2 linked regions of the Notamacropus eugenii genome follow. The protein of the gene in region 2 binds, or shares a complex with, the protein of the main gene of each other region. Links are inferred from orthologs where the notes say so. Each region holds a gene or a part of one and is shown on either strand. Other genes may lie near its edges. The genes, in order: PDLIM5 and AAK1.

Region 1 (11,779 bases), on a different chromosome or scaffold from region 2:
AGCTCCAAAATTCTATGATTCCCCAGGTGATCAACATGGAATTTTGAGAGCATAAAGGGATCTCACAAAACATCTCATTCGACCAATTTCTCATTTTACAGATGAGGATACTGAGGGACAGAGATTGACTCATCAAAGTCATATAAATAATTAGTGACAAAGTTGGGGGTAGAACTCAAGTTTTCAGCCCAGTGTCTTTCCTATTGTGTAAAGTAACACTTTTGCCTCAGATAAGATGTTTGGGGACAAAAATTGAAACTGATCACTAAAAATGGTGACTTGGTGAAATCTGTGTATTTCTTTACCCTCATCATTCTTTCTGGATAGCTGATAACTTGTATGTCCGTGTCATGAGAGACAAACCTTCTACAGTATGAATGGTGGGTATATTCAATACATGGTTTCATTCACAGAAAGACTTCTTTCTACCAATTAAGTACCATATGATGCAATGAACATTTGTTTAAAAGCTGTAAAAATATACTTACACTAGAGATGGTCAAAGGCATGTTGAAGTCCTTGCCACCTTGAAGTCGAAAGCCCCAAGGAGCTGGGCCAACCAAGGAGATGTTGTAGTTGCTCATGGTTCTTGTGGTTCAAAGTTTACTTTTGGGTAATAAAAGCACCTATGAAGGAGAATTAAATAACTATTTAAAAGGCTTATTGAAAAACCTAAGTCATCTTTAAGTAGTCTATTTTAAAGAAACATAATAATGTTTAGGAGTGTGTGTGTGTGTGTGTGTATAAAATGGGAGTGATATTAAACTCTCATAAATTTCCATCTAAGAAAAGGGATCCAAGGGTTTAAATGTAATTACTACAGGTCTGCCAGTTTCCATAATATGAAAATTCCACCCCAGAATATATTTCTAGACATGAACATTTTTTACAACTTGCTGAAATCCAATTTTATTCCATGTGGCTTCTTTTATAAAATTGTAACTGAAAAGTGCTTTGCAGTCTTCTTTTAATGCATATTTGAAAAGAGAAAGACTATTTCAGACTTAATTTCAGATGATCTCCTAACACACATCCACCTCATTCTTTTGACTATAGTTGGCAAGAAGCCTTCAGTTCGACGTTATTCTGAGTTCCCCGTAACACCTGTGAGGATACTACAGCCTGTAAATCTGAGGGATTCAGTACCCTGCTTTTCAAATACTAAATTCATTCAAATTGTTTTCCATTAAAAAACTACAATTAACAAACTATATGTTGCAATCCATTGTGTTTTCAGGATTTTGCTGTCAAAGTCTACAGCAATTTTCCTCCCAAATAGGCAATGCTGTGTGACATTTTTGTCAGGGTCTTGGAAGGGAGGGGGAAGAGAGAAAATGAGAGGGAATGCAAGTCTTTGGAAAGGTTAAGAGCGCATCCCAATCTACCACAAGCTAGAAGACTGACTTCAAATACAAGCTCCACTACTTATTGCAGTGTGCATAAAGTGGACAAGTCACTTAACTCCTTTGGGCCTCAGTTTCCTCATTTGTAAGGTGGGGGAGGAGAGCACAAGGTTGCACAGTGCACCCGCCCTAGTGTAAGGAGGACTGGAGTTCAAATCTGGCCTCAGACAGTTGACACTTACTAGCTGTGTGACCCTAGGCAAGTCACTTAACCCCAACTGTCTTGGGGGGAGTAGGGTGAAGGCTTAGACTTGATGACCTTGAAGATCTTGCCAGTTCCATGATCCTATGATTACTATAAAACAGATGCCAGATGCCTAATATAGAAATTATGGGAGAATCATAACCTACAAGATAAAATGCTTTCCAGTGTGCCCCTGTTTAAACCACTATTAGCCCTATGTTGCATTTGAATTTACAGAAACAAAGTCTGCACATTTATATGATTATTTGGGAGTAGGGAAAGGTTTAAGCCACATTGTTTTTTTTAAAGCAACCATGTGAAACTTTTAAAAATGAGAGGGAAAAATGTGTGTGAATGTGTGTGTATATATGTGTGTGTGTACTTACATATATACATATACATGTGTATAAATACATATATCTATATCTAGATAGATAGATGATAGTTAGATAGATAGTCACTTCCCTTGTAGTGATGACTGCTGATCAATTTTAAGCATTTACAATATTTTTGACAGTCACTTCTAAAATATTTTTTCAGGATCTCAAGAGATCTAAATTTCTGTATCTATGACATATTCATAATCACAGTTACAAATACGAATCACTGAGGGTCCTAAAACCAAAAACTGCCTATCTACCTCATACTAGCTTCTGCTTTCCATAAAGGAAAAGACAGCAGAAAATACAAGGAAATCTTGGAAGATGCCCAGCCATGGATCAAAGTTAAGTAGATGAAACTAGGTTACAGATTACAGGATTTTAGACTACTTTCCCCCCCAGGGAAGTAATGCTGAATTAATGCCTAAATGGTTAAAGAGCAGGCTCCCTATATAACTGGAAGAATTTCTAGCACATATGAGAATATTTCCTAACTGCAAAAAGCAGTAAGCAGAGCTACATGACTTGTGTTTTCCCCTTTCTAAAAAAGAAATTCTTTGCATTGATTAAAGAAAGATGGCAATGCCAATTCAGAAACCACATGCTGACGTCTTTCCCCACCACGTAAAAAACTGACTCTGTATTTTATAGGTACAAATAGCTCCAATTGGTTCAACTTCCTCTGACCTCTAATATTCTTTGCATGAAAACTCATGTAATGTGAATATAAACGCGTACAATTAGTTAATCTAAGGTTTCCTTTTTTTCTCCTTCACTGTTAAATATTTTGTACCAGCAATGTCAAAGAAGATATGCTTTGTACTTTTATTTTCTGTATTTTCCTCCATATTTTGCTCACCTTAAAATATATTTAAGTCTTGTTATTACTATTGGAATTTCTCAGAGTATCATGAAAACCATCATATGACAACTCCCCCCAAACTTAACATACCCAGCAGACAGGAACTTAAATTTAGAAATGTAAAAAATGTTGGATTTCGTATGGATCTGGGTTCTTTGGGAAGTCAAAACAATCTGTAAAGTGGCTGCAGCCTGTAAGGAACAATACACACACAGGAAGCTTAGTATCTATCCCACACACTTCCAGTATTCCAGCTGTCTTTTAAGAAGAAAAAAAAAGCCTCCCATTTACCAGAAGGTAATGAAAATAAACAACGATCCAAACAGAAAAACTCATTGCTCTACCAAAACACCTCCTAGGACAGGTTGAGAGTTAAGAACACGGGAGGTTACAGCTGAAGGGCTAAAAAGCTACAGGCACAGGATGAAAGAGGTCGGCCAGGCAGCTTTCCATAAGGCAGGCTCCCGCTTCTCCCTGTTGGCCAAATAAGGCGCAGGAGCTGGCTGGTTTCAGACGCCTTGACAGTCAGGAAGCTTGAACCCGAGGATCAGATCGAGCGATCACACCCTAAACCTGCCCAACCCAGCTTAGCTATGAGTTTGTTTTCTGAGCACTTATTTCTTCCCGGCCTCGTTCTACCCTTTTATTTTTTCCCACTTGTTGTCAAAGACAAAGTCTTAAAAAGAAATACCTAATACTTAAAAAAAAAAAGCATTTGTAGCTCAGACTAGTGCAAAAAGCATTTATTAAATGCTAGGCACTCTGTCTGGCCCTGGGAATAGGGAGAAAACTGAACGCCTCTGACCTCAAGGAGCTTCCTTACTGGCTTGTATTTTCAAAATTTATTAATGAGGATTTACTTTATTGCCGGTTCAGCTGGAACTGGCCACAAACAGGTTACACAACTGTAAATAATTCGCTTTTGCAAAAGAAAAGCAACTCTCGGAGACAGATTCATGTGCATGTGTATTTCAAAGGAAAGGAAATAAACAACCTCCTGCTCTCCCCACCCCCCACCCCCAAGAAGAGAAATACCCACTAAAATAATCAGCAAAAAGTGTAAATGAAGGCAGTGCCCAGGAGCCAATGGCTGCGGGCGGGCTGACAGGCTGACCGGCTGGCACAGCCGAGCGGGGGAGGCTTCTGGGGCTTTGCCCGGAGGCTCTTTCCGCTTCGGGAAGGCTAGGCTGGGCAGGGCTGGGCTGGGTAGGCGAAGGTGCCGCCGCCGCCGCCTCTCGCCCGCCTGCCCGCGCTCCCACTCCCTAGCGGGCTCCCACCGAGCCTCCCCAAACGGTAGCCGCCGGCCCCTCCCTCTCCGCCCCCGGGCCCCGGGCAGCGGCCACAGCCCTCCCTGCCGGTGATCGCGCCACCTCCCCGCGCTCCCTCCACAGCCAGCTCGGGCGCGATGCGCTCCGGAGGGCACAAGGCTCTCCGCTGGCGCCGGAGCCTGGCTGAGCACCTGAGGACCCCGCACCGCTGCGGGACTGAGACCGCTCGCGCCTCTGTCCTCCTCCACGCCTCCCCTTTCCCTTGCCTCCTCACTTCTAGGGTATTCACCGCTAGTCCTCCCGGGAGCCGGGCTCGGGCACTCACCCACAGGGCAGGAGCTGCGCTGTCTCAGGCGCGGGGCAGCGCTGACAAGTGACGGACTCCCAAGGCGGCTGAGCCAGGCTCCTAGCGGGCACTTCCGCCTCCACTTTCTCCCGCGGCTCCTCCCACGTCCCGGCCCAGGGGGGAAGTCCTCGGCCCTGCTGGCTCCCGGGGCCACTCCCCTCCAGGGATCGGGAAGTGTGTCTCCAGTATAGGGAAAATGGACAGGGAAAATAGCTGCGCTAGGAAAAAGCCTTCCAGGAGGGGAAAGGTGGCCAGGGGCATCTGAAGCGCAGCCTTCCTACCTCGGAAACCAGAGTGGCACATCGCAAAGATTCCCATTTCCTCCGCAGCTCTGTTTCTTTCTCTGTATGTCTTGTATTTATAAAGTAATCAAATTTTTACTAAAATGGAAATGCCGATGGCTAAGATTTCCCCAGCCATGCGAGTTCAGGGAATCCCCTCCTATATAGTACAGGAGATTCCAGTGTGCTCATAGAACTTTGGTACAATCAGTATCTTTTCAATGAAGGAAAAGGCCAGGAATCCCATACTTCAGATGAAGAAAGGGTGACAGTTCCCCTCTTCCCCCCACCTTCCCCCAGGAGTGAAGAAATCTGGGAGAATAACGATCGCTGGTGATTGTATCACACTGTATAGCTTGAAAAGGGCCTCGTATCATTTATGGAAAATACGTAACATTATATTACAAATACATATACTCCCTAGATATGAGAAGTAGTGAGTGGGTAGAGTTGATCAGGGAAGACCTGGTCAGCATCTAGTCCAGCCTTTGACCCTGGGCAAATCGCTTAGATTTTCAGACAATAACAGTCAATAAACCTTTATTAATCATTCACCATGTGCTAGGCACTGGGCGAAGCTCTGGAGAAGAAAAAGAGGCAGAAAAAAATAGTCCCAGTTCTCTAGGGGCTCAGCGGGGGAGAAAAGCAAACAAATATGTACTAACAAGTTATATAGGATAAGTGAGAACTAATTAGGGAGGGCGCTAGAATTGAGACGCGGGAAAAGACTTCCTGTAGAAGGTGGGAAGATGGGGTCTGAGTTGGGACTGAGGGGAAGCCAGAGCGACCGGTAGGCAGAGATGAAGAGGAAGGACATTTCAGGTATGGAGGACGGCCAGAGAAAATGCTAGAGATCTGGTTCTGGAACAGCAGTGTCAGTGGATGAAGAGATGAGAAAATGGTGGGAAAGGGTAAGGTGTAAGAGGACTGAAAGGAGGGCAGCCAGGCGGCTTGGTAGATAAAGTACTGGCCCCAGAGGGAGAAAAACACCTGAGTTCAAATCCAGTCTCAGATGCTTAATGGTTCAGAGATGTGTGACTCAAGGCAAGTCAACTTTGATTGTCTCACTAGAAAAAACAGAAGAAAACTGGAAAGGGGTTTTTTTTTTTTTTTTTGGGAGAAAGGGGAAAAAGGAATTAGTTATGAAGGTCTTTGAATGCCAGACAGGATTCTGTATTTGATCCTGGAGGTAAAAACGATCCACTGAAGTTTATTGAATAGAAGGGGTGACATCCTGGGACCTGTGCTTTGGGGAAATCACTTTAGTGGCTGAATAGAGGATTGATAGGAGTGGAGAAAGACAGGCAGACCCACTAGCAGGCTGTTGAAGAGTCCAGGCAGGAGGTAATCAGGGTCTGCACCAGAGTGGTGACAGTAAGAGGAGAGAAGAATATTTGAGAGATGAAATCCACTGGCCTTGGCAAAATATTGGATATGAAGGGGTGAGAGTGAGAAGTGGAGGATGACTCCTAGGCTTGGAGGTGTTTCTCAGGGCTGTAAATTCCATAAAAGATGCTAACCTGAAACAACAGAGGGAATTACCTTACCTTACTCATGAAATAACATGCCAGTCCCTCTTCTTATATCTACACATAGATATATGCTTTACTTTTCTCTTAACATACACATACACAAGACTGACATGCATTTTTGGAGGGAATGAGATCACAGATCCATCATGGTATGGAAAGAACTTTGCTGATCTTCAAAGGGGCAAAATATAAATTTCCTTTGTTGATTTACGTGTGGATAGCAATATAGTCTCCCCTAGTAGAGTATAAACTGCCTGAGAGCAAATATTGTTTCACTTTTGAGTCTGCTGAGCATCCCAGTGCTAGCAGTAGGTACTCAATAAAATCTTTTTTATTGGCTCTATCCTTGGAGTCTCAGGACAGCTCTGTGAGTTAGATACTACAAGCATTACTATTTCAGTTTTAGACATTAGAAGTCTGAGAATACACAGCTGGTAGAAATCAGAGGCAGGCTTGGTGGTCTCTCTTGGTGCTATGCTCAAGTCACTAATTCCTCCCTTTGTCTGAATTACTAACTTATTTCCCAGCTTCTATACGGATATTTATTTAGTGCTGCCCAATATCTAGCCAAAGAGCAGCATGTGTCTAAATGTGTGAATAAGTGTGGCTAATGCCTAAATAATTTTGCATTTGGATATTTTGATATGTTACAGAAGGACTTGGAGTCAGAAGACCTCAGCATCGCTTAAACTCCGAATTTCCTAACCTGTAAAATGGAAGTTGAAATACTTGTACTCTGTATGTCAGTGAGCTGTTGGGAGAAAAGCACTTTGCAGACCTTAAAGCCATGTGTAGATGTGAGGTTAAATTACATAGTCTTGAAGCAATTCATTCATTCATTCATTCATTCATTCATTCATTCATTCATTCAAGAAGCACTGAGCAGGTACTATGTGCCATATCCTTTGAGAGGGACTAGGGGTGCAAAGACAAAAATGAAACAGTTCTTGAATTCAAGGAGCTTATATTCAATTGAAGGGATTCAACATCCACATAGGTAAAGAAATATAAATATGTAAAAAATTATAAAATAGCATTTAGGAGGAAGGCAGAACAAAAGGGGATGGAGTCAAGATGGACCCTAGTTTAGGAACTGTCACTTAAGCTGAACCTTGAACCTTGAAGGAAGCTAGACATCTTAACAGATAGGGGTGAGGAGGCAGTGTGCAAACCCAGCCTGGGGACAGCCTGGGCAAATGCAGAATAGTCCAACTGAGCAGGAACCTAGAATAAGTGACGGAGAGTTTGGAGAATGAAAATGGAAGATGGATTAAAGCCAGATTGTGAATTATTTTAAAAGCCAGAGGAGTTTTATTTTATTCTTTAAGTAAGAGGGAGATACTGGTGCTTTTTGAGCAGGGGAGTCCCATGCTTGGAACTTGGCTTTGGGAATATGACTTTGGCATCGATGTGGAAGATGGATTAGAGATGGGAGAGAAGGGAGGTAGGAGGACCAATTAGGAAGTGATTGCAATAGTCCAAGTAAGAACTGATGGAAGACCTGAAAGAAGGTAGTGATTGTGATATGAACAATGTTGTATATGTGGAATTGACAGGATTCAACAACTGATTGGATATGCAGACTAGGAAAGAGTGATTTGGGGAGGATAATAGAGAGGCTGGGCTCCTGAGTGATTACAAGAGGAAGGAGACAGCATGGTATTGTGGACTAGGGCACTGGACTTGTAATCAGAAAGATCTGGATTCAGATCTTGACTCAGATAACATATCTGTTATTTGACTACACAAATATATCATATCATATTATATCATATATTATATCATGTCATACTATACTGTATTATATTATGGTATGTTATTAAATTATATTTTATATATATAATATTTTTAATATTATATATAGTTATAATTTTATATTACATATTTTATTACATTATATATTTATATTATATATAATATATTTATGTTATATATAACTATATATTAATATGTAATGTATATTAAATTATATATGATATATAAACATAATATATATTAAACTATGTTATATTAAATTACATTGTTACATTATATTTATTATGTTGTTATATTATATTACATATGTGCATACACACATATCTATATCTGTATCTATCTGTCTAACTATCCCATCTCCTTAACCTCCCTGTGTTTCAGTTTCCTCATCTATAAAATGAGGGTTTGGGCTACCTTTAAGGTCCCTTTCAGTTTTAAATCCATGTTACTACTATGGTACTGTTGACAGAAATAGAGAAGTTAGGAAGAAGGGGGAGGGGAAGGAGAAATGATCAGTTCTGCTTTGGATGTGCCTTTGGGACAGATACCCAACGAGAAATGCCCGATATGCATTTGGTGATGTAGGACTCTAAAGACTGGGGTTTATATTTGTCGATTTGTCGATTGGGAGTCAAGTGCATAGAGATGCTCACTGAATACATGGGAGCTAATGAGATCACTTAGAGAAAGACTGAATAGTGAAAGAAAAAAAAGAGAACCTAGGATGTGGTCTTGGGGAATACCAATAGTTAAAGAGCAGGAAGAAGAGGATTATTCTAGCAAAAGAAAGCCATCTTTCTGTTAAGTTAAGAAAATGTGAAAAGTGAGGAGCCCTAAAACAGAAAGAAGTTTCTTCCCAATAAAAGTGAGAATTCCAGAATATGAAGGCAAAAAGGTAGGCTGAAATTAATGGAGCTGTTCATGGGGTAGGGCTGAGGTGAAGAGGCACAGAAGTATAGAGAAAGAGAAGAGACAGCACAGTTTTTTGCCTCAGTGTTTGCTGATCCTGAAGCACAGGAATAGGAGTATTAGAATCTGGGAATGTGTCTACCATAGAAGGACCAGTTGCAATGGACCCCCTCCCTTCTAGGGGTATGATGGCTGAGTATAGAAGGAGTGAAGACTCCCTGCCTCTCACTCTCAGAGGGTCAATATCTTTAATAATTCTGATATTCTGGTGCCTGAGGAAGATGAAAATATTAGGTCTCTAGGTAATAACTTAGGCTCTGTACACAAATGCAGCACATCCATATAGGAGTTACTCTACACGTAGGACAGGCATTCAGTGCCTGATTCCACTCCCAATCCCATCCTCACACAGTGTCTTTTTTAAATTTTACTAAAAAAACCAATCAGCAAAACTAATCAATGCCTAGGGAAAATTTGACATGTATATAATTTTCTAGACCCATGGACACTGCCCCCCACCATATCCATGAGGTATTTTTAATGATTCAGAGATTTTTCTGAAACAAAAGCCTATCTTTTAAAATAATATTCAAGTGATGTCTCATAACTGTGAGTCATGGAATATCAAGGTCTCCGAAGAATTAAAGTTGAGGGTCCACCCAAGGGCAAGGGAGAGGTGCATGGTAGATGAGAATAGGCCACAACCCTTTGCCAACCAAGAATTTCTCTAGAGAAGCATTATTGAAGATGAAATTAGAGAGATGTACAATCTGAAAAGGAGAGTTGGTCATGAGGCAAGATGGGGGGACCATTGATAGACCATGTGCTCGACCGGTAGCCACACAATATCAAGAGATCCAGAAGAAGGTTCTAGTATGTTGGGTGGACTCCCTGTAGGTGATTAATGGGAGAACTCAACCAATACCTTAGGGTTCAGGGTCTGAAATTTCTTTGAGTCCCCCTTCAGAGAAGATATTCTAATACCACTTTCCAATCCCATTCCCATTTAGACTTGCTAAATAGGGAAAACCTGTTAGACTTCATAGGGTGTGTAAACAATTGGAATTCCCCACCATCAGTTACAGTCTTTAACGTACTCTTACCCTCTCACCACCTTGTGATCACCTAGCAGAAAGCAGACACTTTTGTAGTACATTAGTAGAAGCCAGGTATGGTGGTGGTAGTAACTTGACTGAAAAACTTCACAAGGATACAGTGGTGTATGATGCCATGGGCAGAGTGCTGAATTTGGTGTTGAGTGTTCAAATCCCTGGTTTGCCACTTAACTACCTGTGTGACATTAGATAATTACCTAACCTCTCAGTGTGATAACAGAAAGAGTGATAACTCTGGAGTCTTTGTTGCTTACTACCTGCATGACCTTGGACAAGTCACTTATCATCTCTGTGCCTCAGTTTGCTCACCTCCCTGCCTTAAATGAATGACACTATCATGTCTCTGTCTCAAATCTTTCATCTGTAAAGGGGTATGTTTGACTAGATAATCTTTAGATGACCTGTAGGGTCGCTTTCCACTCTACATCTATGATACTAAACTCTGCGTCCCCTAGAACCTAGCAAAGTACTCTGCACAAAGCAAGGGATTAGTATTTGTTGTTTGAGTACATGTTTGTTGAATGAATTCAGTGAATGAATGGAAATCAAACTAGTTCCATCTTCTTTATTTTCATGCTCTTACTAAATAATCAATTGAACCATAAATACAACTAAAATAACATTTCCCAGTGGATCCTAACGAGCTCACTGGTGTGGACACTCCTTCCACCAGTGCAGATGGCAAACCAGTAAACTTCTTTGAAGTCCTTAAAATTTACCACACAAATCTGGAAAAACTCAAATAACAGAAAGTATTCCCTATAGACTAACTAGGTTAACAAGAATATATTTTAAGAGTATTTTCTACCTAAAAACAATGTTTTTGTAAGAATGCAAATGTTTGTTCTAACATTTTATTATTTTATGCATGACTCAAAATTCTCCTGTGGCAGCTACAAAAATAACAGGAATGTTTAATTATGAGAAGGAAAGACTGCAGTGAGTGTTTACAATTGCATTCAATAATAGGGCTGAACTGGTCTATGAAAGGTGGGAGTGAGAAGGGGACTGTCCTTGAAGCATTCACAGATATTCCTTGCCTGGTTTCAGTTGGAGCAACCATGTGGAAATATAGGAGGAACAGGATTCTAGCCATGACTAGCTGAAGGGCTAATGCTATGGGATGACAAAGTCTTCTAATTGGCTGCAGAACCAGACAGACTGATGACTCACAAGTTACTGAGCCAGGGCAGAGTGCATACAAAAGTGAGACCTACCCATCTTTCAGTTCTTTTTGCTTGGTTACTGCAAATAAGGAAGGTTATTTTGGCCTGAAGGTGAGTGGGGGTAGGGAAAACAGCACAAAGTGTGACTGCCCTATCTCCCACTTACCCACCATTTATCTGTGAACACATGGTACCTCTGTTTCTTTTGTGTTTATCTTTTCCCTATCATAGGCTAATTAGTATTTCAAGATGGGAAATACCAGGTTATATGATGAGTTCAAGAGACCTACAAGTTCTGTGCAGGATCTCACTGGTGACTGGAGTTGGTAGTAGAATCCTTTGGATACAGAGATCAATGACAGAGAATGAACCTACAGACAGATGTGGACATAGTACCTGGAGGATAGCAGAAGCTGAAGGGATTGTGACCCTTTATGATGAATGAGCTGCTGATTATGACCTCTAGAACAGCACTGATATTCAGAGCCCTGCAGTAGGCTACACTTGTGGGCACTTGCATGAAACCTCCATTAAGGGAGAAAATACAGTCCAGATCCAGGAATTACCCTTTGCTACAT
Region 2 (10,851 bases):
CACAGAGCCAGAGCTGGAAGGAATCGGAGAGGTTGTTTGGTCCAGATCTGCTGCTGCTTTTTCAGATCCCATCTTGCTCAGGCTGCACATGCAGAGGCTGCTCACAGGCCTTTCTCACCACTGATTGGCACATGAGCTTTAACCTGCTCTGCTTCTGACCCAAGACAGTTTGCTTTACAGGGGTGTGTGCTGGAGCCACATCTGACCCTGTAGAGCTATTGTGAAGTTTTCAGTATGAGCATTTACACCTCAGAAACTGCCAGACCCACAGGTCAGGGCCTGATCTACTCTTCTGTTAATTGTCACCAGAAGGGCAACACTCCAGCCTTTGTAGAATCAAGTTAAAATGTAACTGAGAAATGCTTAACAAAATAAATTTTAAAATACAATGCAACATATTATTAATGCTATTGTTTAATAGTATCTGAGTTTTTATGACCCTGTGGACCATGCAGTTTTCTTGGCAAGGATATTAGAGTGGTTTGCCTTTTCCTTCTCCAGTGGTTTAAGGCAAATGGAGGTTGAGTGACTTGCCCAGGGTAACACAGCTAGTAAATATCTGAGGTCACATTTGAACTCAGGTCGTCCTCACTCCAGGCCAAGTGCTCCACAATGCAACATAATGTTAACTGGTGTTTTTCTGAGTCAACCACAGTCAATCACAATTCATTTCTATTTAAATTTGACACTACTAGTCTAGATCAGAGGGGTCAAATATGCCCTTCAGCACTCCTTAGCGCAGGGAGAACTAAATTAAAATGCACTGGGAAATATTTAACAAAACAAATAAAAACACAACAGAACACAGATAATGCTAATATGTGGTTCTCAAGTCAGAGGGCAGCAGGGATCCTTTGCAGTTATCTATTTGAGTTAGACACTGCTTAACTAGACTTCGGAAAGTGATGGAGAAATGTGAATAAGGCAGATAAAGTTTAAAATATATCATTTGTACATTTTGGGGGGAGGACAAGTTGTTAAATATTTACCAGTACACCACTAACTTTAGGCAACCTGGTGCTCCCCACCCCCAACTCCAGAGGCTTATCATATTAATGCTGAATTTAGCACGGACTGATCTGCATAGTCCACAGAAACTCAAGAGATTCACCACTCTCAGTCTTCAGATGGCTGGGATTACAGGAGTATACCACTATACTCAGCCAGGGATTATTAACCTTTCCTGTGTCGCAGATGCTTTGGGCAGTCTTTTCTCAAAATATTTTTGAATATATAAAATAAAATACACAGGATCACAAAAGAAGCAATTATATTGAAATACAGTTATTAAAAATTTTTTTATTGAGCCCGAGGTTAAAAACCCCTCTAACCCTCTTATTTTATAGAGGAAGAAAGCTGATGTCCACTGAAGTTAAGTGGTAATCATCAGATGTATGGATTTGAACTCAGATCTTCTGACTTCAGAGGCAGTGCTACTCCTTCTTTAAAATTTTTTTCAATTACGTGCAAAATTAATTTTAAACGTACATTTTAAAAAATTGAATTCCAAAGGCAGTGCTATTTTAAATCTCAATGAGTGCCAAATTCATGAACCCTTCCTTTATTCTACCCTCCTGTCCTCCTCCTCTATAAGTGGGGAGATCAGGATTAGTAGATCAATTTAAATAGCTTCTTTACAATTTTGCTATCTGATAGTTTCTTTGCATATTTTAATAAATCACGTAGTAGCTAAAAAGTCAGTTGTCTGGATCTCAGTTGGTCAACAAGAACAGATTTCCCAAATTCCCTCAACAGGAGTAATTAGAGGTTTCCAACAATCTTAATATTTTAGAACTACTGTATATTTCATGTTCATACATGTAGATCTATATTGAATTGGGGGCAAATTGCCCAAAGAAACTTGGTGTGGTGGGAGTGGGTTGTGGTCTGAAAATTTATGAACAATTGCCATATAGGATACTTTTACCTTTGGAAAAACTAGCCCATGTTCACTAAATACCTACTGATAAAACCACTAGGTGGGTGGCTTGATGGTATTGCCACCTGGTGGTCAAAATATATATTTCCCAGTTACTCAAATAATTAAGGGGTATCCACTTTTGTTTAACTTGTGGAAAGCTGTGTTATAAGCCCATCATGGATGGCTGTTTCAAAGAGGAAACCAAAGACACCTACCAAGGCATACCTAAGCCACATCAATTATCACATGTGATTCTGCAGCTAATCAAAGATATAGAATTTATAGCTAGAAGAAGCCCTAGAGATTATTTAGTCCAATCCCTTCATTTTACAGATAAGGAAATCAATTAATTAATGAGCAAGTATTTATGAAGTATCTGTTTCAGGCACTCTCTTGTTCACTGGGGATTCAAAAACAAAAAATGAAATAGTCCTTGTCCTCAAGAAGTTTATATTCTATAAGAGAGACAATCAGTACATAATTAAGACATTAAAAAAGTATACACAGAATAAATACTAGGTAAAATGTGTGTGTGTGTGTGTGTGTGTGTGTGTGTGTGTGTGTGTGTGTGTGTGTGTGTGTGTGTGTAGAGGACACTAGTGACTGGAGAATGAGGAAAGGTTTCACGTAGAAGGTGGTCTTTGAGCAGTTCTAAAGCAAACAAGAAATTCAAAGAGGAGAAGGTAAAGAGAGAGGAAATACCTGGACCACACTCAAGAAAAGATATGAAGATGGAAGATGGAATGTCACATATGAAGAACTGCACGATTAGTTTGGCCACATCATAGTAAGTACTGCCCTGTTATAATAATTAGTTTGTTTTAAACCTGGAGTGATCCAATTTAGGTTCCTAAGGTCCAGGAGTTTTCTTCTCCAACAATAGGGAATTGATTTTAGATGAAAAGTTCTGAGTTCCATCACAATAACTCTGAGCCCCCAGTTTGGAAAACTCCTAATATATTAACCAAAGTTTACGTTTATATCTTGCACAAGTTAACCCCCCAGCCTCTTTGAAGTTGACACAAAATTCAATTCACTAGAAACATTAGTGTAACAAAACGTAGATTATATTATAGTGAATGTGAGGCAGAGACTGGGAGGGGAAGTTGGGGAATGAGCCCAGTTTTTTCTTAGATCTTCTCCTAGCATAAGTCCTCTGCTCCCAAACTTTTCTAGAGCTGATGTTTCTCTTACATAGCATCCTTCTCTTTCACAGCTCATTCGCTCCTTAGGTGTATGCTGGAAGGCCAGCCTCTTGAATCTAGACCCTCAGAATCTTTTCTTCTGCATACTTAGCTTCTTCCTTTAAGCAAATTCCTTAGGACATGATCCTGTCTTTTAAAAAATGGCTTTGATTGAGGCAGGTAGGTACCTGCTCTGTTTAGGCCCTGTTCACACTCAATTCTAATTGTTTAAGTCAATAAAAAGTGTTCATACCTAACAAGGGATATTACTTAAAGTGAGTGGCATAATCTAATGGAGTCCACCATAGCAAATACATAATATAACCTTGGAAATGTAAGTTGTCACCAGGTTGTGAAGGTCTTTAAAAGTCAGACTAACATATTTTATTCTAGAGGTAATTATTTATTGAATGGGGGACTGTCATGGTCAGACCTTTACTTTAGGAAAATCAATTTCACAGCTGCATGTAGAACAGATTAGCAAGGGGAAAGAAATGAGGTAGGGAAGACAATTAGGAAGCCTTGCAACAGTCCAGACAAAAGGTGATGAGGGCATAAACTAGGGTTGTGGCCCTGTGTCTAGAGAAAAAAAGACATGTCAAAAATGTAAGGGAGAAATGACAATATTTGGCATCAACTTGAAAGAATAAATGAATAAAAGACATTCAATAATCATATTAGCGAAAATTTAACAGTCAGCTCACAGGGGCTCTCAGGCTGGTTCTGGCATACCCCTCTGCGTCTGCCACTGTGCTAAGTGATGAGAATACCAGTATAAGCAAGTAAATAGTCCTTGACCTGAAGGAGTGAACAGTCTAATAAGGTAAGGCAACACATAAAGGGGAGCTGAAAGGATGCAGGGGATTAGACTAGTAGGAAACTGACTGAAAAGTAATAGGAAGTCTGATTCTGGGCAAGGAAGGGTAAGAGCTGACCTATTGGGGTCCAAGGTCCCAGGGGCAGAGTTCTGGTTACAGTGGGAAGGGAATGAGGAGGATAACCAAAATGAAAACGGCATAGTTTTGAACTGGATGTGTGAATATACATGTGGGGTGAAGAGAAACTAAAGCTCCAGGATAATGTCAATGTACAACACTGGTGACTGGATGGTGAGTGATACCTATAACAGAAAGAGCGAAGATGAGAGAGGAGTAGCCTAGAGAGGTGATGTAATTTCCCCAAGGACACACAAGTAGGGAAGACTTTCACATAATATGTGCTTTACACATATCTATATGTAGTTTCTGTTAAGTAGCAGAGCCAGAATTGGAAGTCAGATATTCTGAATCCAAGACCAAGTATTTTCTCAATCACCTTGCTTCCAATTTCTATTTCCTTCTGCCCCCACCTTTACTACTATATACGGTTCCACAATAAATTCAGTCATCTCATACACCCACACCTAAATGATGAATGGGCAACCTCTATCCAGAATTTAACTCATAATTAAAACAAAAATGACCCCAAGCACAAGTGTTTCCTGATAATATCAGCCAAAGGAGAGCAGGGTAAAAACGGACTTCTTATAGTTGACAGGCTAAAAAATGTCCCTATACCATCACAATTCATGAGAAGTAAGGTGGGTGAAAAGCAGGTGGAAGAGAGTGGTGGGGAGGTAGAGAGGATTCTAGGAAAATGAAAGTCCTCACCTTTTTACTGGTTAAGAAGCTCTGAATTGTACAGGTGGTTGCCTTGGAAACATTGTTCTGTTTACAATGCCATCTTCATTTGTCCTGTTACAGTGATGCTAGGAAACCACTGGGTGAAGGTAACTCAGGATCGGGAGAGGATGGGAGGAAATGATAACCACTCTCAGTAGGTATAGGGGTGCTGAAAAAGGTTCTTTGGGACTTGACTGTTTTAATTAGGAGAATTTCTTCCTAAGAGTTAGAGTTTAAGGGTAGTCTACCATCATTATGTCAGTCTACCACCATCATGGAATTGCAGCAGGTATTAAGAGATGTAAATGGAAGAAAAGGTCTGATTTTTTTCTTCCCCCTCTTCTTCCAAATCCACTGAGCAATGGAAACTGTAGAGTCTCTCGGAGCTTTTCAGACTGGCTTTGTCTGGCTCCATTTTTTCTGTGGCCCTCACCTCTCTCACAACTTGACTGGCAGCAGCTGACAGCATAATTAAGGTTGCAGAACATAATGAGGAGGAGGACAGGTAGTCAACCATTTCAACAAGAGTGTAAAGGGTAAAGAAGTAAAAGTTATTTAGATTTAGAAAAAAAAAATCTGGAGTTCTTAGTAGAGAAGGATTAGGAATGTCTTGGCCAGGACCCTGATAAGTGAGTGCAGAAAAAATTCAAGGAGAGGTAGCTTCCAACAATTCTATTGCCGTGCCTCTAGCTAATCTCCAGCAATATCCTCACCAGACTCAGCCTCTACACAAGCCACCAAGGAAGAAACCAGGGTAGAAAAAAACTGCTAATCTTGAGGGAGAATAAAGATAATGAAGTTTTGTTTTTTTTTTTTAAATAAATTCAGGGTAGCTAGGTATACAGTGGACAGAGAACTGGCCCTGGAGTCAGGAAGATCTGAGGTCAAATCCAGCCTCAGACACTTACTATCTGTGTGAACCTGGGCAAATCACTTAACACAGATTGCCTTCTTCCTCCCACCCCCCCAAAAAATAAGGTTGACAACCTATTACCTTTAGTTAAGAAGTGTCCTAGATGTATTGCCTTAACTAGTAATATTAGAGCAGATATTCTTTGATTTTTGAATGTTTGGAGATGATCAATTTTGCTTTCATTGTTTTATTTTGTGAATTAAAAAAAAATTTGACTGGCTTTTTAAATGATGGTTTTTTAAAGTGTGGTACAACAGAAAAGAACATTGAGTTTGGAACCAGAAGACATGGGATTCATTCCCTAGCTCTGCCACTTAGTACCTGTATGACCAAGTTTTATAAACTCTCTGGCCTCAGTTTCTCAATCTGAAAAATGAATGGATTATACTAAATAATTCTATCTAGTATAATCTTTGAGGTCCTTTGCAACTCTAAATCTATGAAACTGTGAAAGAAAAACTTTTGAGGACTGGATGTCCTTGTCAGACCACAGTTGGAATTGTCTGTGATAACATAAGATCATAGATCATAGCTAAAAGAATCTGTAGAAAGTTATCTAGTTCAATCCCTTCATTTTCCAGATGAAAAAATTGACGGCCAGAATGTTAAGTGACTTGCCCAAGGTCACACATGTATGAAAAGGCTGAGGCAAGATATGAATCTAGGTTGCCTGACTCCAAAGTCTACATTCTCTGGGTGCCATCATATATTTTAAGAGGCATATACAAAAAACCCCAAAACACACAAAAGCATATGCAAGATGGAATATGTCTCAAGAAGCATGACCAGGATGACAAAAGACTGTATATCATTCCATAAAAGGATTAGTTGAAGGAACTGGGTCAGAATTTTAACTAGGGTAGAGTGACTAAAACTAGGCCCTTGAGCAGAGAAATTTAAAGGGTGATACCTGCAATTGACTACTTTCTGAAAGTAGAAATAACTGAGCTCAGTACCTAATTAGCAAGAATAATTAACTAAAATAAGGAGCTATCAGTGGCAGGCCTCCTCCCTTGATGACCATAACCCAGGTGAGTCCTTCGCCAGCATGTCTCTACTTCACTATCCCTTCCAGTGGTATTTGTTCTGCAGCAGTCTCCTAATGACCTGAAGTTGAACCTCTATCAAGGCTGGTGTCCTGGGTCTCTCTGTCTCCTTGTCTTTGGGTCTTTTTCTCCAAGGTCCAAGATTCCACTTAGGTCTCCATTACTCCCCAACCCTACCTCTACTATATTTGTATTAAGAAGGTTGTTTGAGGGTACCTCTCGGGCTGTCATCCAGGAAATATTTTGTAGTGCTTTTTCTGGGAAGTAGAATCAGCATTTGTGGCTCTAATACGGGATTTTTAACCTGGAGAGAGGGAAGGTTTTGGGAGAAGAGGGGGGTGGAAGAGATGAGTACTATTGTCATCTTTAAGTATTTGAAAGAACCTCATGTGAAAAAGAGATTTTTTTGTTTGATCTTAGAAAACCAGCACTAGGTAGAATTTCTTCTTCTTCTTCTTCTTCTTCTTCTTCTTCTTCTTCTTCTTCTTCTTCTTCTTTTTTTTTTAATACATTTATTTATTTATTTTTAGTTTTCAACATTCACTTCCACAAGTTTTAAATTTTCTCCACCTCTCCCCCTTATCCAAGATGGCATGCCATCTGATATAGGCCCTATATACACATTCTTACTAAACAGATTTTCACATTGTTATGTTGTATAAAGAATTAGAACAAATGGGAGAAACTATGAGAAAGGAAAACAAAACAAAAGAGAGCAAATAGTATGCTTCAATCTGCATTCAGACTCCATATTTCTTTCTCTGGATGTGAATGACATTTTCCAGACATCCCTCTAACTTGCTACAGTGTTAACTGCAGTGTTAACTTAGCTAATACAAACTAACAGCTTCTTGGAGCCACAGGTGAGGGTTGAGTGCTAGGTAGACCCCAAAGGAGGATAAGCAGCCCTGAAAAGGGCTCAGCAAAGTCTTCATACCAGAAGTGCCAATCTTCCTTGAACATCCTATATAACTCTTCTGTTGATGAATAGTGGCAGTGGACTAATCTCACCATTATCATCAGAACCTTCTGCTTGGGTGTTCCATCATATACTCTGCAAGTGGTTTCTGCCCTTCTGGAGTGGAACTGTCCATGGGAGAATCTGCTGACCTCAGCACCAGTGGGCCAGCCAGCTCCCCAATTGCTAGGTTGCTAAAATCTCTGCAAGGTTCTGTCTTCAGTTCTATCCTGCTCAATCTATATCTATATCTATATCTATATATCAATATCAATAACATAAGTTCATGTGAAGAAGATTTAAGGATTTTAGTTGACTGAAAATTCATTGGATTCAGCAGTGTAATGTGGTTGCCAAAATACTGGTCAGATTTTTTTTTTAACTTTTTAATTCACCAAACATTAGTTAAGTACTTTTTTTTGCTGTTGAAAGAATTGGGGATATTTAAAGTCTTCTTGAAGAAGACTTTGAAGGACATGATCGCTGTCTTCATATATTCAACAAGCTGGCATGGAAGAGGGATTTGACTTCTTTTGTTTCAGCTAACTGCAGGACTGGTTACACCTTAGACCTTCCCATCATTTAAAATTGTTCTGCTTCCCTGATCTTGCCTCCTAAAATTCCCCTTTGTGATCAAGGTCACCTGACCTTATCTCTCTCCATCTCCCTAGCTCTTCTCAAACCTATTCTTTGTCCTCACTGTGACTTTCAATGCCTCAATTTAACCCTTAGAGAGATTATTCATAATTCTCACATCATTTAATTATCATCACACTCCTTCAGTTGACTATTCCAAATCTTCTGTCCTAAGGCCCCAGTGCCCCTTACCCTCTCAGCAGATGACCTCTCTCCTCTCTCTCTCTCTCTCTCTCTCTCTCTCTCACTCACACACAGATGTGCATATATCCTCCCTTTCACTGTTTAATTTGTAAACAAAATTATCTACACTTGTTGCCTCTTCTTCCTCACTACCAATTCATTCTTTAGTCCCTTTCCATCTGGCTTTTGATTCACCCTGCACACATTGTCCACCTCACCCACATTCTAATTCCATAATATCTCTCCCAACTGCTTCTTCCTCTCCACTGACAAGGCTATTAACCTAGCTCAGATAGATATTATCTTATGTCTCAACTATTTAAAGTCTCTTAATTGTGTCATTATTTTCCTCCTCTTTAATCTACCCTTCACAAAGCTACAAAAATATTCTTCCCAAGACATGTCTGTCCATATCACTCCTTGATTGGAAACTTTCATTGACCCCATGTTTATGAGCCTCTACAATCTTTCTCTAAACTTCCTTTCCAGACTTGTTTCATATCATTCCTCTGTGCCCATTCTAGTTTCTAGTTAAATGGTGCTGTTTGTTAATCGCTGGCCTTGACATTTTATCCCCTGCTTCAATAACTTGACATAGGTTTTCCCCATGCCTAAAGTACAGTCCCCCTCATTTTCACCTTTCAGAATCCTTTACCTTTCAGGTAGAGCTTGGGCCATCATCCTCTGTGAGACACTATCCTTGATCCTCTCATTGTTAGTACCTCCTGTCTTCTCAATTTTTCCTAGAATAATTTGATCTTTCCTTTGTTCCTTTCACTCATTTCTTTGTATTGAAGGGTAAGATTATTTTTCTATTATTTTAATAACCAATTATTAAATTAAGATTAAGGTTTTTCCTTTTTATTTCTGCATTCAGGAATCAGCCCTTGTAGGTCATTCAGCCAGTCTCTGAAGGACAAGACTGACAGATGAGATTGGCCCAATCCTTGGGGTACATGCTCCATGGTCTTGGGTGGACCCCACTCAATTAGGGGACCTTACTTTTGCTTAGAGGGATCTACAGAGTCTAATCTAGGTGTATTATAGTCCCAAAGCATTGAGCCCATACCCTTGCATCCCTTCATTGCGGTCTAGAGGAACTCAGCTCATCAAGGAGAAAATCAACCAGAGTAGTCTGGGTAGAGATAAATTCCTTTGTCCAGACTGCTGTAAGTGGCTGAGTCTCGTGATCAAGTAACCACGTTCTCAGCAGGAACAGGGGAAGACTTTTAGCTTACCTCCTTATTAATAGACCCACCCCTCTTGAACTGTTCACCAATCAGGGTTGATTTTCACCTGTCAGGGGCATCTCCTTTTCCAAAGGTATTTAAGCTTTCAAAGATCTCCATGGCGTTGTCTTTGATTATCTAGAGAAACCACTGACCAAAAATTTATTGATCATAGCTAGCCTAATTATTAGTTATCCCAAAACTCTGTCTCTCAGGCTTTTTATTCATCTCTGTATTCTATTGTATCATAAGCTCTACCTGGGCAGGGATTGTTTCCTTTCATATCCCCAGCACCAGGCATAGTGTCTTACACATAGTAAGAACTTAAAAAAATGTGTTGAATTGAATAGATCCAGAAGGTAGGACTATGATCAATGATTCCCTATAATCAATTATAGGGAAGAAAGATTATCACACTAGTCTTGCAACATCCTGCTTGTTGTAGTGGACCTGGATGAGACAGATAGTAGAGCTAGAATCATAGGAGCTAAAAATTGATTGTGGGTGTTGGGATCTCCAAGGAGAGGGAGGGTCAGAGATGAGTTAGAGGTTCTAACCTTGAAATGGTGACAGTGTCTTCAACTAGAACAGGAAAGTGGAAGAGACTGAAGTTTTGGGAAAAGGCTGAGTTCCATCTGGATATGTGAAGTTTTAGGTTTTGTTGGGGGACACGCATACAAAATTCTTGTAATCTGTTTTTGGGAGAGAGATAACCGGCTGTTACATAATTATGTCATATCAGACTTTTAAAAATATCATTGTTTTGTTCATAATAGGCACTTCATGCTTAATTCATTTTTATTATTTGATTGATGTGACTGACTTCCTGGATATGAAATGAGACGACATGTGGCATAGTGCAAAGGGGTCATAGCTTTCTGTATAGCTAATGACACTCCTGAGGGAGACTTGAAGCACACTAAAACATAACTTGGAAATATTTAACAAAACAGGCAAAAAAACAACACAGTGAGACACAGATATTACATTTTGTTTATTTTTTTTGGAGACAATTAAGGTTAAGCAACTTGCCAAGGGTCACACAGCTAGTAAGTTAGATTTGAACTCAGGTCCTTCTGTCTCCAGGCTGAGTGCTTTATCTAATGTGCCACTTAGCTGC

Evidence for each region.
Region 1: the proteins of AAK1 (region 2) and PDLIM5 are in contact, whole or in part, in a crystal structure (PDB 9F6S), measured with the Homo sapiens proteins. The link is inferred for Notamacropus eugenii from reciprocal best matches to the Homo sapiens genes AAK1 and PDLIM5. Residues at the interface, in NP_055726.4 of Homo sapiens: Asp956, Leu958, Ile959, Asp960, Leu961; in NP_006448.5 of Homo sapiens: Ala12, Pro13, Trp14, Gly15, Phe16, Arg17, Leu18, Phe24, Gln67, Ile70, Lys71.

What each region holds. Positions count from the first base shown.
Region 1 is NC_092878.1:131,763,481-131,775,259, reverse strand, and holds the start of PDLIM5 (PDZ and LIM domain protein 5), read right to left. Parts: upstream 4,545-11,779; 5' UTR 4,423-4,544; exon of another isoform or gene 4,372-4,422; intron 3,021-4,371; exon of another isoform or gene 2,920-3,020; intron 627-2,919; 5' UTR 585-626; coding exon 489-584; intron 1-488. UniProt on the Homo sapiens protein: May play an important role in the heart development by scaffolding PKC to the Z-disk region. May play a role in the regulation of cardiomyocyte expansion. Isoforms lacking the LIM domains may negatively modulate the scaffolding activity of isoform 1.
Region 2 is NC_092872.1:633,957,476-633,968,326, forward strand, and holds the start of AAK1 (AP2-associated protein kinase 1), read right to left. Parts: upstream 5,162-10,851; 5' UTR 4,874-5,161; coding exon of another isoform or gene 4,850-4,873; 5' UTR 4,755-4,849; intron 1-4,754. Other genes in the region: ANXA4 (annexin A4), read left to right, coding at 4,850-4,873.